Drosophila melanogaster: one gene and its partners. The protein of the gene in region 3 interacts with the protein of the main gene of each other region in a pairwise test. Each region holds a gene or a part of one and is shown on either strand. Other genes may lie near its edges.

Region 1 (3,756 bases), on a different chromosome or scaffold from region 3:
AGTAGGAGGTGTAGCTACAACAGTATTCGCAGCAACTTGGGACTCGGCAACGACTGGAGCAAGGGCTGGCGTTTCTGGTGCAGTTGTTAGAGTCGCAGCAGCTACCGGGGGCTCAGTCGAAGCACTTACAGGAGCGACCACTGCGGTCTCCACAGCTGGTGCAACCGACACATGGGGGGAAGCTGCAGCCGGAGCAACGACTGGGGTTTCAGTAGCCGGTGGAGCAACGACCACTGGCTCAGCTGCAGCTAGTGGTTTCGTTGCCACGACGGAAACCTCGGGGATGAGAGGTGCAACGCACTCCGGTATGGTTGCAACCGGAATCTCAGCAACAGGTGGTGGAGCTGGAGTCTCGGCGACGACGGGGGCAACTGCAGGAGCAACGGCAGGCGCAAGAACTGGGGCAACAACAGGAACAGCAGCTGGTACAGCAGCTACAGGTGCTGCAACGGGAACCGTGGTGTTAGCGGGAACCACAGGTGGTGTGGCGATCACAGGCGAAACAACGGGAGTCACGGCAGCCGGAGTGGGGGCAGAGGCAGCAACAGGTGGTGTCGCTATCACAGGCGCAGCTACAGGAATTGGGGCAACAGGAGTGGGTGTTGCAGCAACGGGAGGTGCCACTGGTGCTGAAACAGCGACCGGAATCTGAGCAACAGCAACGGGTGGTGTTGAAACTGGACTTGCTGCCGGCGGAGTTGGAGCTGCAACAACTGGAGGCGCCACAGATGCGACAGGAGCGACGGATGCGGCAGCAATTGGAGCTGGAGCTGGAATAGTAACTGTTGCCGGTTGCACACTTGCAAGGGTGGGCGGTGGAGCAACTGGAGTGACTGCAATCGGTGCCGCTGGTGCGGGAGCCACTGCCGCAGGACTTACTACTTGGACAGGGGCAGCCACTGCTGATGGCGTCACAGGCGCAGCAACTGGTGCTGAAACAGGCGATGGAATGGTTCCTGGTTCCATGTCTATCCTTTGCCCACTTTCACATAAAAGTTAATCCGTTTTTTCCTTTTGGGCGGATTGTGCCTTGTCCAATGCTTAGTTGCAAAAATGTTTCATGGCCAGCTTTTCATGGTCAGAAGACAACTGAAAACAGAGGAATGAAAACGAGAAAAACATGAGACATGGCAAGGCTGGATCTGACCATGATTTAGGCCATTGTCTTAAATAAAATTAAATCGATGAGAAACCACGTAAGAATGAGAAAAATAAGAATAAAAGTTCTCCGGAAAATACTGATTCAAATATCTATACAATAAAATTACATTGATTAAATGAGATTAGAATTGTCTTCACTACATGAGAAGTAAAAGTAAGAGCAATTGAGTTAACTAGTCTCTTGCTTCTGACGTCTATTCGAAATATATTTTTCTTTTACAAAACTGTAGTTGCTAAATTATGTAAGAGAAAACAAGGCACTTGCACAATTTCGTTCAAAAATTCGAAAATAAGCGGTCAGCAATGAAATGGTCAACTATTAGGAACTGCCTCTTAGGTAAGTCAATCCTTTTGAATATTTTCAATATTATTAACCAATTTAATTTGTTGAATAGTTTTAAACAGCGACCGACTTGCCGATGAGAAAAACGGTGTTTAACTGGCCCGTTGACTCAGTTTTCTTGGACATTTTTACCTCTTTTCATTGGTTTACCTTCGGTCAGAAGTCCGACAACTGCCCATTGAGCGCAGAAAGTATACGCATAGTTTCAAGTGCTTTTTGCGTTTTTCCAATTCCCAGACACTAAGGTGCTTATCAGCTGACCTTAGCCACATATTAAATTTGTTCCGGCTCGCACGAGGAAACATTTGGCGCTGAAAAGTGTGCTACATGCGTTGGCGCCCACCACTGCGTATGAGTGATATTCGCATATTATTCGATTATCGATTCCGTTCGCATCTTGCCAAATGCATCGGGTAGATAAATCGGGGAAACGCTTTCAAGAATTTATTCGCGATCCAGTGCATATCGCTTACCACTCGCTTTGTCAGCTGCACTCGCAGACACATAACTGGTTATTTACACAATACTGATTACTTTGCCGTATTTGCAATGTAGTTGTCAACAAAATGCGACAGGTTCCCGCGCTGCCCCGCACTGCCCCGCCCTCACCCGACCCTCCACAATCCATTTGCTATCGTGGCCCATTCAATGTCTGATGCAATGACAGTTGACAAACTGCCACTACGTAGCCGTTGGATCGGAACACATTAGCTCGGTGGAAATGTAATCGCAAAGAACTAAGAAATAAATCTTTCAATTTTTCGAGTGAATGCCGGGTAGGAAGTGCAGCCAAATGTAAAGCAATCCACAGAGGCAGCCGGCAGTTGCACATGCCGTCCGTTGGAGCAAGTGTAATGTGATCTGCGTACAATTTGCAGGCGTCGTTTTAAAAAGTCCAACACCAACACGTCCACCTACACCTTCGCCTCACTTGCCCCTCTGCTGGCCGGGAACCGAGCACACTTGAGACTTTTGCAAATAGTTTTTCCACATATGAACAGAAAGAATTTTTCTCGCAGGATGGAAAATAAAAAGAGTTGCGAACGAAAAGAAAAGAAATACATACATATATATAAATAGACGAGATGGGAAAACGCTTATATGGAAATGATTTCACTGGAGAAGTGGAGGAGCGATGCGGAGTAGTTGTGAAGATTGAATTGGCAGTTCAATTTCACGTATTATTGACATTTAAGCGTAAGCATTTGAATATAAACTGAACCCGGCTCAGGGATTGAATGCTTGGAAGGCCGAGAGCGAGTCCTTTCACAGGATGCACAGACATTGGCTGCCTATTATTTTCTGTGCGATAAATCAATCGCATGAAGCAAAATGCAGAGAAAATACCAAGATAAGTGGAAATGAAATTACATCAAGCATACAAATTGTATTTATACTTTATTCTATCTCCTCCTGCATCACTGAACTCGACAATTGATCTGAGCTGCGAAGGAGTTTGCGTACCTCAACAAATACATTTGATTTTCTTCGAATCTGTGGTCACTGATGAGTGATCTCAAATTGTAATTGCCAGCAATAGAATAGAAGTTTTTGTCATATTTTACAAATATTTCTCAAACAATGTTTTATACCGAAAAACAATACTCGGATGAAATCCATTCCCTGAAACAATGGATATTGCATTCCTGGCTATTTTCGAAGGTGAGGCGATCAACTACAAAAAAAAAAAAAAAACATAAATCAGCGCAGCGTATACACCTAATTGCCGTCATTTTGCACGCACTGTAAGAGTGTGGAAAGTCGGGCCCGTGTGCGATTGGAAAAACCAAATACAAATATGAATACAAATGCGGGGCGAAAATCGAAATTGCGAAATGTGGCAAAAGGAGCTCAAGCTTCAATCCGGAGCCGCTTCCGGGTGTATTTTGCTAAATTGCAAATATTTCTCAATTCGCATGCATCAGCAGAGAATGCAATGCAAACAATTTTCACCCAGCGGCCACAATAAAAAGGGAAACCCCCGGCGAACGCAAAAAACCCAAAACACCCACACGCAGAAGGGGCACACAAAGTGCTGGCTAGGCAAAAAAAATTCGCAAAAATCGGCGCCGTATGGCAACCCTGGTCGCTGTGTGGCTGCTGCAACTATGGCGCAATTTATTTCCAGTTTGATTGGTTTTTTCGTGCTTAATTGCACTTGGCTTGCGGGGGGTGGGCTGGTTGGTGTGTTTTCGACCATCCAATTGGGATTGGTGGGGGCGGTAGTGTGGGTGATGGCTGGTAGTTGCCCC
Region 2 (3,756 bases), on a different chromosome or scaffold from region 3:
TAAAAGTTGCGCAATCAAACTTCGCAGCCACTTCAATGGGCTTGAGGAATCAGTTCCATGGGATGTCATCGATTTTTCATTAATACCTGGATTTTACCTAATTTCCGCAGGCCTTGAATTTTGATTATCTCGCTAATGTGATTTTTATTTTAGACTGTCTAAGGTACACCGCAAAAAATAAAATAAGATAAGGACATTCTTGTAGATGAGTGCAATCAGTTTACTAGTGTAAATTGTTGGCATACAAAGTGGCATACATATATCATGAAAATGTTCTACTTTCGTCCTGTGGGTGTCTTCCAGGAGAGGCGATTCCTGTGAATGGTCAACCTCGGCTTTTTAAACTGTGCGAGCCCACGGCGATCTTCAATTATCGATGAAGTAGTGTAGAACATGATGTGGTCAACCTTGTAGTACTTCGTCATCCCCATAAATTCTAAAGTGCTTATTATGTCCTCCTCGCGGAAGCCAGTCGCTTTGCTCAGCTCTTCGATGGTCACCAGGTCCGGTGATGAGTGGTGCCTCAGCAGATTGAGGAGGATGTGGCCCCAATAGCTGAGGTAACAAAGTCTGGCAACTTTCGACAGCGGCTTCTTGGGACCTCCGATGCATGCCTCCCTGCGAGAGATCTCGTAGCTCAGATCAATCAACAACTTTCCGTATCCCTTGCGCATATAGGGCGGTAAAACAAGGATGCAATTCAGGTTGATATTCAGCATAGTCTTCTCCCTGGCGAAGTAACCTGCAAAGTGCTCGCCATCCTTGTCCTTCAAACACAGGATATAAAACAAGAACGAACTCGAGCTGTAAAGAATTTTCTTGTTTTCCAGAAAGAGCTTTGACATTAGGCAGAGGCACTGGCAATACAGCTGCTCCTTATGGCCATCGACCTCGTAGATATAAATATTGTCTTTTCGGTATAACAAGCTGCCCGGCGGACACCTCTTCTTGCAATCGTATAGGTGGTAGGAGTAACTTTTCCGCAAGCACATGTATTTTAGGCAGAATTCACAAACGTAAATGGTGGTCGCCTTGTCGTTTATTACAGGATAGGGACTGGAAGACGTGGTCTCGATCTCGTAACGCCCAAATTGCACCTTTTCGATGTTTCTTATGACTTTCACTTTCGCGTCCTCTTTCTCTTTCTGGACATCACTTTTTTCATTATCTATTGTCTCCTGGCGCTGGCGATCATCCACATTGCTACTGGCATTAGTGTGTAATAAAGAAATCATATTAGGTTCCTTGACGCCTTCCAATTGCTTCTTCGGTGTAGCCCCTATTCTTTGAGCTTCGATGCACGATCCAGTAATGGTTTTAGTTTCCTGAATGTTTTTTTGAAGAGATGAATCGTTCTGAAGCTGGGATTTCCCCATTTCGGACTTAGAAGCACTTTGGCCTAAACCGCGAGTCGCGGAGGATTCCTTGGCATTAGTCTGAAGAGTGGCAAAAAAAAAATAAATTATCAGCAGTTTTTCATTCCTCATATGATATTCTTTGACCAGTATTGTTCTTACCAATTGCAGGGCTCTCGGAATGTCCGGCAATTTCGAACTTATCCCGTCCTGATCGCCCAACGGCTGATACTTTAAATGGTCACCTGATCTGTTTTCCTTGTCCATTTGTCAATTCCTATTGCGAATTTCACCCTTTTTAGAAAGCGTGGTTTTTCACTAGTGATGACACATTTAGCTTGATATCGATTAGTGATATCAATAATGAAACGATAAAGTTTGTTGTCAAAAAATCGAATCATCTAAGGAAGCACCAATATCAAAGCATTAAAGTTATTTTTAAATTTTAATTCCAATTTAACTTTCTGAACATATATTGAGCAAAAATATATATTATACAATAAGTTGTATACATTTTTTTCAGTGAGAAAACATTTCGGGATATAATCTCAGTCCTACGCCACACCCTGCTACCTTGATCTATCGAAGACGCCAGTGCAGGGACAACCCGGCTCAATACTAATTAAAATAAATGAACATTTACGTCGTCACAGCAGGTGGATGTGAGGGCGAGAGGCCAGGAGACCGGGCGAAAGATTAGGTGACGAGCCCGGGCCAACGGGAGACATCATTAAAATGCATGGTTCAAACGGTGCGTATACTTAATATAGATTGGATTGAGAGTGTGTGGATGGCGGGATGGGGGGGGGGGGGGGGTTCTAGCAGGATGGAAAGCTCCTGGATGAGTTGGCTCCTTTTGCTACAGCATTCGCTTGCGGTGGCTGTAATCTTTATGCGCCATGTTTTTATTTGTATTTATTATTGCGTTTGCGGAGAGCAGAGTAGCGAAGAGCACACTTTGTTTGCAGGTGAAATATTCCACGCATCCAGCGAAATGAGAATTTATTGACTTCACTCTGCATATGTGCGTGTGTCTGTGTGTGTGTGCCTTTTCTATAAGAGTCTCTGTTTGCGTACACGTAAAAATATTATAGCGATTTGATATATAGCTTTGTGCTGCAAAATATCTATGCGCTGCAGAAATATAAAAATGTCATGTCTCTACTAGAGAATATTACACAAAAATGATTAAAATTATATACATACTTCGAATCTCATTAAAATCAAACACTTTTTATTGCTGTGCTGCTTCGTTTCCGCTTGAAACGTGCCCCCACTGCATATTTATCTACGTCACACAAGTTTGATAAACACAACCATGGCTTCGAGACAACTCGAACGTCTGTTTGCATTTGTGCTTAATAACTTTTAAATGATGCGGGGAATGCCTTTGAAAACGAAGTCAACTGAAAGGAGGTTCCTGGGCCCCGGAGTCATACTCCCTAATTAGAGCCGTAGAGTCGTAGGTGTGTGCAGAACTATTCAAACAGGCCAAAGAAGTCGAGCTAACTTGAAGCTTAAATATTTTTAATAAAAATTCTTTTGTTATTTCGATATGTTTAAAGCACAGCACAGCTTCTTGTTAATGTATATATACATATACAATATTCTAATCCCAGCTTAATTTCACGCCTCCAAGCTTTTTGGTTCCTTGTTATTACTCGATACCATCAGTCTTATAAAAATATTAAGGCCAATGTTTGGGCTGGTAGCTCTGGATCGATACCTATTAGCCCTTGACCTGTACGGTGAAGATAAGCGCTGGGCTCCCAATGGGCTTTGCGAAACGGTTTCCATGGGGCCACGTAGTGTTGGGTGGGTTTGGACGGGCTTTTGTTTAGCCAGCTGAACATTTGGAAAATGGTTACAAACAGTTTTGAATGCCCATAATTGATGCAGGAGGAGCATGCCCAGAGCCCGGCAATCGCACTTCAATATGCATGCCAGTGTGCACTGAATACCCAGTTCCAAGTTACCATCCGGTTGGAATCAAACCAAGTGTGGTCAGGCGTCTCTGCTGGGCTGCCGGATGCAAAGCCGGAATAGTGGTCGGTCGGGTTGCGTTAATTAATAAACTGGGCCTACTTTAAGACGACGCCTGCGTTGGCCAATTGCCATGGCATCCATGCAGTCGGGCAACTAGGCAACTAGGCAGTCGAGCCGTAACCGCAACAACTTCAATGCAGTTTTGTCTGCCACAAAGCCGAATTTCAGTAACTGGCAGAGATTGCATCCTTTGCGGATACTTAACGAGTCGACGCCTGAGGAACGGTCCAATCCCAAACTGATGCCCTCAAAGCCGTATAATTGGCCAGCGATGCGCCATCATCGCCGGCATGGACTCGATCGATTCCTTTGAGCATTAGCCAAATGCCGCATTTTTGAAGTAATAAAGCACAGG
Region 3 (3,756 bases):
ATATTTAAATTAAAATATAAACTAACTGGATAATAATTAACATAAATAATGTCTATATGTGTATATTTAAAGCGCAAAATATAAGTAACAATTCAATTGGTTCAGCATTATGTGTATAAAATCATTCTATACAAATATGCGTTGACAAAATTATAGCAAGAAACCTATCACTGATCCCAATTAAAAGGCTTCTGGTGAACCTGACCAATAGTTCTTTTCAAAATTACAATATTCTATTGAGTCTATATTTAAATCTTTGCTAGAAGTCCGTTTCATCGGTCGCGATCTCTAAACGGAACGCCCAAATAAATGCCACATTTAAGAACAATTAAAATCATCGTGTTTAAATAAATTACATTTATTTAATTTTATTTATTTTTCATGATTTTACAACATTGCAGCTTCGGCGGATCTTAGTTGTTGCGAATCATTCTCGAGTGGCCACTGAAAAGCATCTAGGATTCCGATTGGGTTTGACGCTCTGCGGACAGAAAAATGGCAATAATCAGCATTTGCTTTGGATAATAGTTTTTCATCACAAAGAAATAGTTAATAGTTGGTCGCTTGTAAACTTTTGGGGCGGGCAATTTTGGGATATATATATGTATATTAATATAAACATTATATTATATGTAAACACATCGCATTTGCATGCAGATCAGCTTGTAAGCGTAGTTAGAAACTTTGGGAACAAAGTTAGATACATAAACTGTCGTTGAGTTTAATGCGAACGCTGGGATAATTTGGGTTTTGTCTGCCGCGGCAGGCACTTACGCCAGTTTTTAAATTATTAATTTGACGATGGAACACCTAAGCCCTTTCATCTGAAAAATATATTCAAATATGACGCAATATGAAACATAAATTCTATTACTTTATGGAGCGTTTGTCTTGAAGGAATGGTAAGCAATTTTGCCTAATTTTGTTTCGATATTCCAATAAGTTACGAAAATTTTGAAATTAAAGTTTTAGAAATGGTTTGGATGAGTATGAACGCTTCAATGTTGATGATCAGGATTTAAACAGATTGCAAATATATATGATATATGCAATAATATACGAATATCTATAGATGGGAACAGTTTTTACACGCGATATTACGCCTGTAAATTGGCAACATTTTCGGAGTAAAGTGGGAACACGAGTGAACCGTTCATTTTTCGGTATTTTTCACATTGCCATTTCGAAACGGGGCTTTTTTCCGAAACTTTTGGGTAGAATACCGTGTGGAAACCACTTGTGGATGACTTCGAAACATTCCTAATAACACATTGATAACGGTTTCCCCTTGGATTTCGAATTATCCGGAGTTAATTTATATAATGGCTGCTATTTGGCCGTCTAAAGTATTATGATACGTACGAGCTGGCTTGCCATTTGCCCAGGGAGTGAACTTCACATGGCTCGCGTCGCGCTTGGCGGCATCCGCACGCAGTCCCGTCTTCAAGGACTCGCGCAAAATGCGAGCGGCGATGTTGGAGTATTGGATGTAGCTGCAATCGGTAATATTTGGATTAATTATGTTATGTAATCGGGCAGCAAAGGCGTTTTTATTTGCATGAGAATGCTGCCACAACACAGCTGGTGTGGCAGGCACTTATACAATGCTTACGTAATTCCGGCAGCTCTCCAGGCAGTCATTGTGATCGGTTTATTCGAAATATATTCACGCTACACAAAAAATATATAAGATATTCCCTTTCTGAATCCGGTCAGTGTGGCCAACTAGTTTTTGAGAGTTAAGTCAGAAATATACCGTCGATTGTCGCACATATACCTTAAATACTAGCTTACGCGCGTCAAGATAGCGACGACGACTGTGACTTCTGTTATTGAACATACACACTGTTAGTAACATTTGTTATCGATATCCAAACTCAAACTTTTCAATATTTAAAAATCTAATTTACTTATTTTTCTTCCTTTGGGAAAAACCCTAATAAATATGGATATGCCAAACTGTTTTATTCGAAAGAACGAAGCTTGTTACTTATTCATGCCTACACAAATAATTAAGCAGACATTGTTTAACGTGCCTTGCATAAAGCATTTCAAGAAAAATTGTTACATTAAACCATCAACTTAAAAAAAATATTCCCCAATTTTCCTTGAAATTTGTTTTTAGTTCTAGGCTAATTAATCAAATAACCACCAATGCACCCAAAATAGGATAAGCTAAGGATATATTAGATTATTTATTTATCATTGACTTTAAGTTAGACTTTACAGATAATATTTTAAAACTTAACAGAAGAAAACACTTAAGTTCTAATTAAATGTGTATATATACAGAACAAAAATTTCTTTAATATTCTTTAACGCATTAAAGAATCGATCTGACAAGTAATTGCTGATTTTATTTAGTTTTTCGGTAGACGCACACTTAAAAGCAGAACGCAATGGGAAAATTACTTATTCTTGCACATAATTAGTTTTCAATATTTTCGACATATTTGAAATAAGTGTTGTAATTACCCATTCTCTAATTAGGTTAACAAGTCCGGTTTCTAAAAGCAATTAGCATTGTATTCGTATATTACATGTTATAAATATGCAGTCTAGCAACTTTAATACAGAGTATACGCATTTTGCACATGCTCATGAATTCCTGTGTGGTATATATATAAAATATATATTGTATGTACATTAATAGTTGAAACAAAGCGCCTTGTTGATCCAGACATACATTATTATAGTTTAATAAATATACTTCTGACTGCACAAAAATGTAATTTATACATTCATATTTGTTTTTATTTCGGTTGTGGGTGTTTTTTTTTTTTTCTTTTTTCTTTTAATGCAAATTAGTTTAAATATTACGCTATTATATAATAATTTAGTTACAAAATAGAGCAATTTGTCGAACAGCATCGTCCAGAACCGCCTTTACTATTTTGTCTTTGATCTAAAAGAGGAGGAAAATTCAGTAAGATGTTTTTCGTATGCATTGCGAATTTAAATTTGAGCAGCTCTTTATAATTGAAACCATATTTCTTTTTTTTTTTTTTTTTTGAAAACCTACCTTGTGAATTGGGCTCTGGCAAATTATCACGTGGCACTAAATGCATAACAGTCGTTTTGCCTAATGGAAGTCCCAGTGCTCCTAAGGTTACATTGCAATGAAGAAAACGACCTTGATAAATTAAGCGCAAGATTTCGGCTTTCGACACAGTTTCGTGGGTCCAATCTGCAAGATATATGCACAATAATGTATTACATGGGTTTTCGCATCAAAAGTCTAACTCTAAAAGCAAAACAACTAAGAAAGAATTGATTTTAGAGGCCAACAAGCTGACAATATTTAAACAAACTTCAAAAGTCGCATTTATTTGAAATATCCAATAGATGCCATAAATATTAAATATTTCGTGGGTTGTATCCTTGTATCCTTGTGACTATGATTAAAGCGTTCTCAAAATAAATGCAGTTCACGCGAAAGGGTCAATAGCATGCCATTTAGAAGAAATATGTATATTTCACTCTATTTGTATTACGTAGCTTACATACTTAATCGTTAGTGATTAAAAATCATTCGCCGACAAACTTAACACTAAATTCACTCACCTTCTGGCCAATTATCAAATACTGTTTGTGCAATATCACCTGCGGAATCTGAAGGGCTAAAAATAAACTCTTTTGTTTTACCACTAACAAGAATGAGGCGTAGGTTAATCTGAAAAGCAAACGGATATTATTGCAATTAAATTCTTTTATATGATATAGTTTATAGTATATCGTTTTTTTATGAGAGCTCAA

What was found.
Region 1: the proteins of sun (region 3) and Cpn interact in a two-hybrid assay, tested with the Drosophila melanogaster proteins (one large-scale study listed by BioGRID).
Region 2: the proteins of sun (region 3) and CG1894 interact in a two-hybrid assay, tested with the Drosophila melanogaster proteins (one large-scale study listed by BioGRID).

The regions. Positions count from the first base shown.
Region 1 is NT_033777.3:12,164,585-12,168,340, forward strand, and holds the start of Cpn (calphotin), read right to left. Parts: upstream 1,603-3,756; 5' UTR 1,537-1,602; intron 1,090-1,536; 5' UTR 967-1,089; coding exon 1-966. UniProt on the Drosophila melanogaster protein: Plays important roles in both rhabdomere development and in photoreceptor cell survival. Might function as a calcium-sequestering 'sponge' to regulate the amount of free cytoplasmic calcium. It binds 0.3 mole of Ca(2+) per mole of protein.
Region 2 is NT_033777.3:28,482,518-28,486,273, reverse strand, and holds CG1894 (uncharacterized protein), read right to left. Parts: upstream 1,718-3,756; 5' UTR 1,623-1,717; coding exon 1,518-1,622; intron 1,437-1,517; coding exon 276-1,436; 3' UTR 212-275; downstream 1-211.
Region 3 is NC_004354.4:15,847,524-15,851,279, forward strand, and holds sun (stunted), read right to left. Parts: upstream 1,736-3,756; 5' UTR 1,642-1,735; coding exon 1,613-1,641; intron 1,494-1,612; coding exon 1,363-1,493; intron 825-1,362; coding exon of another isoform or gene 811-824; exon of another isoform or gene 775-810; intron 482-774; coding exon 456-481; 3' UTR 336-455; downstream 1-335. Other genes in the region: UBL3 (ubiquitin like 3), read right to left, coding at 2,841-2,905, 3,023-3,187, 3,565-3,673. UniProt on the Drosophila melanogaster protein: Activates the G-protein coupled receptor mth in vitro, leading to increased intracellular calcium ion levels.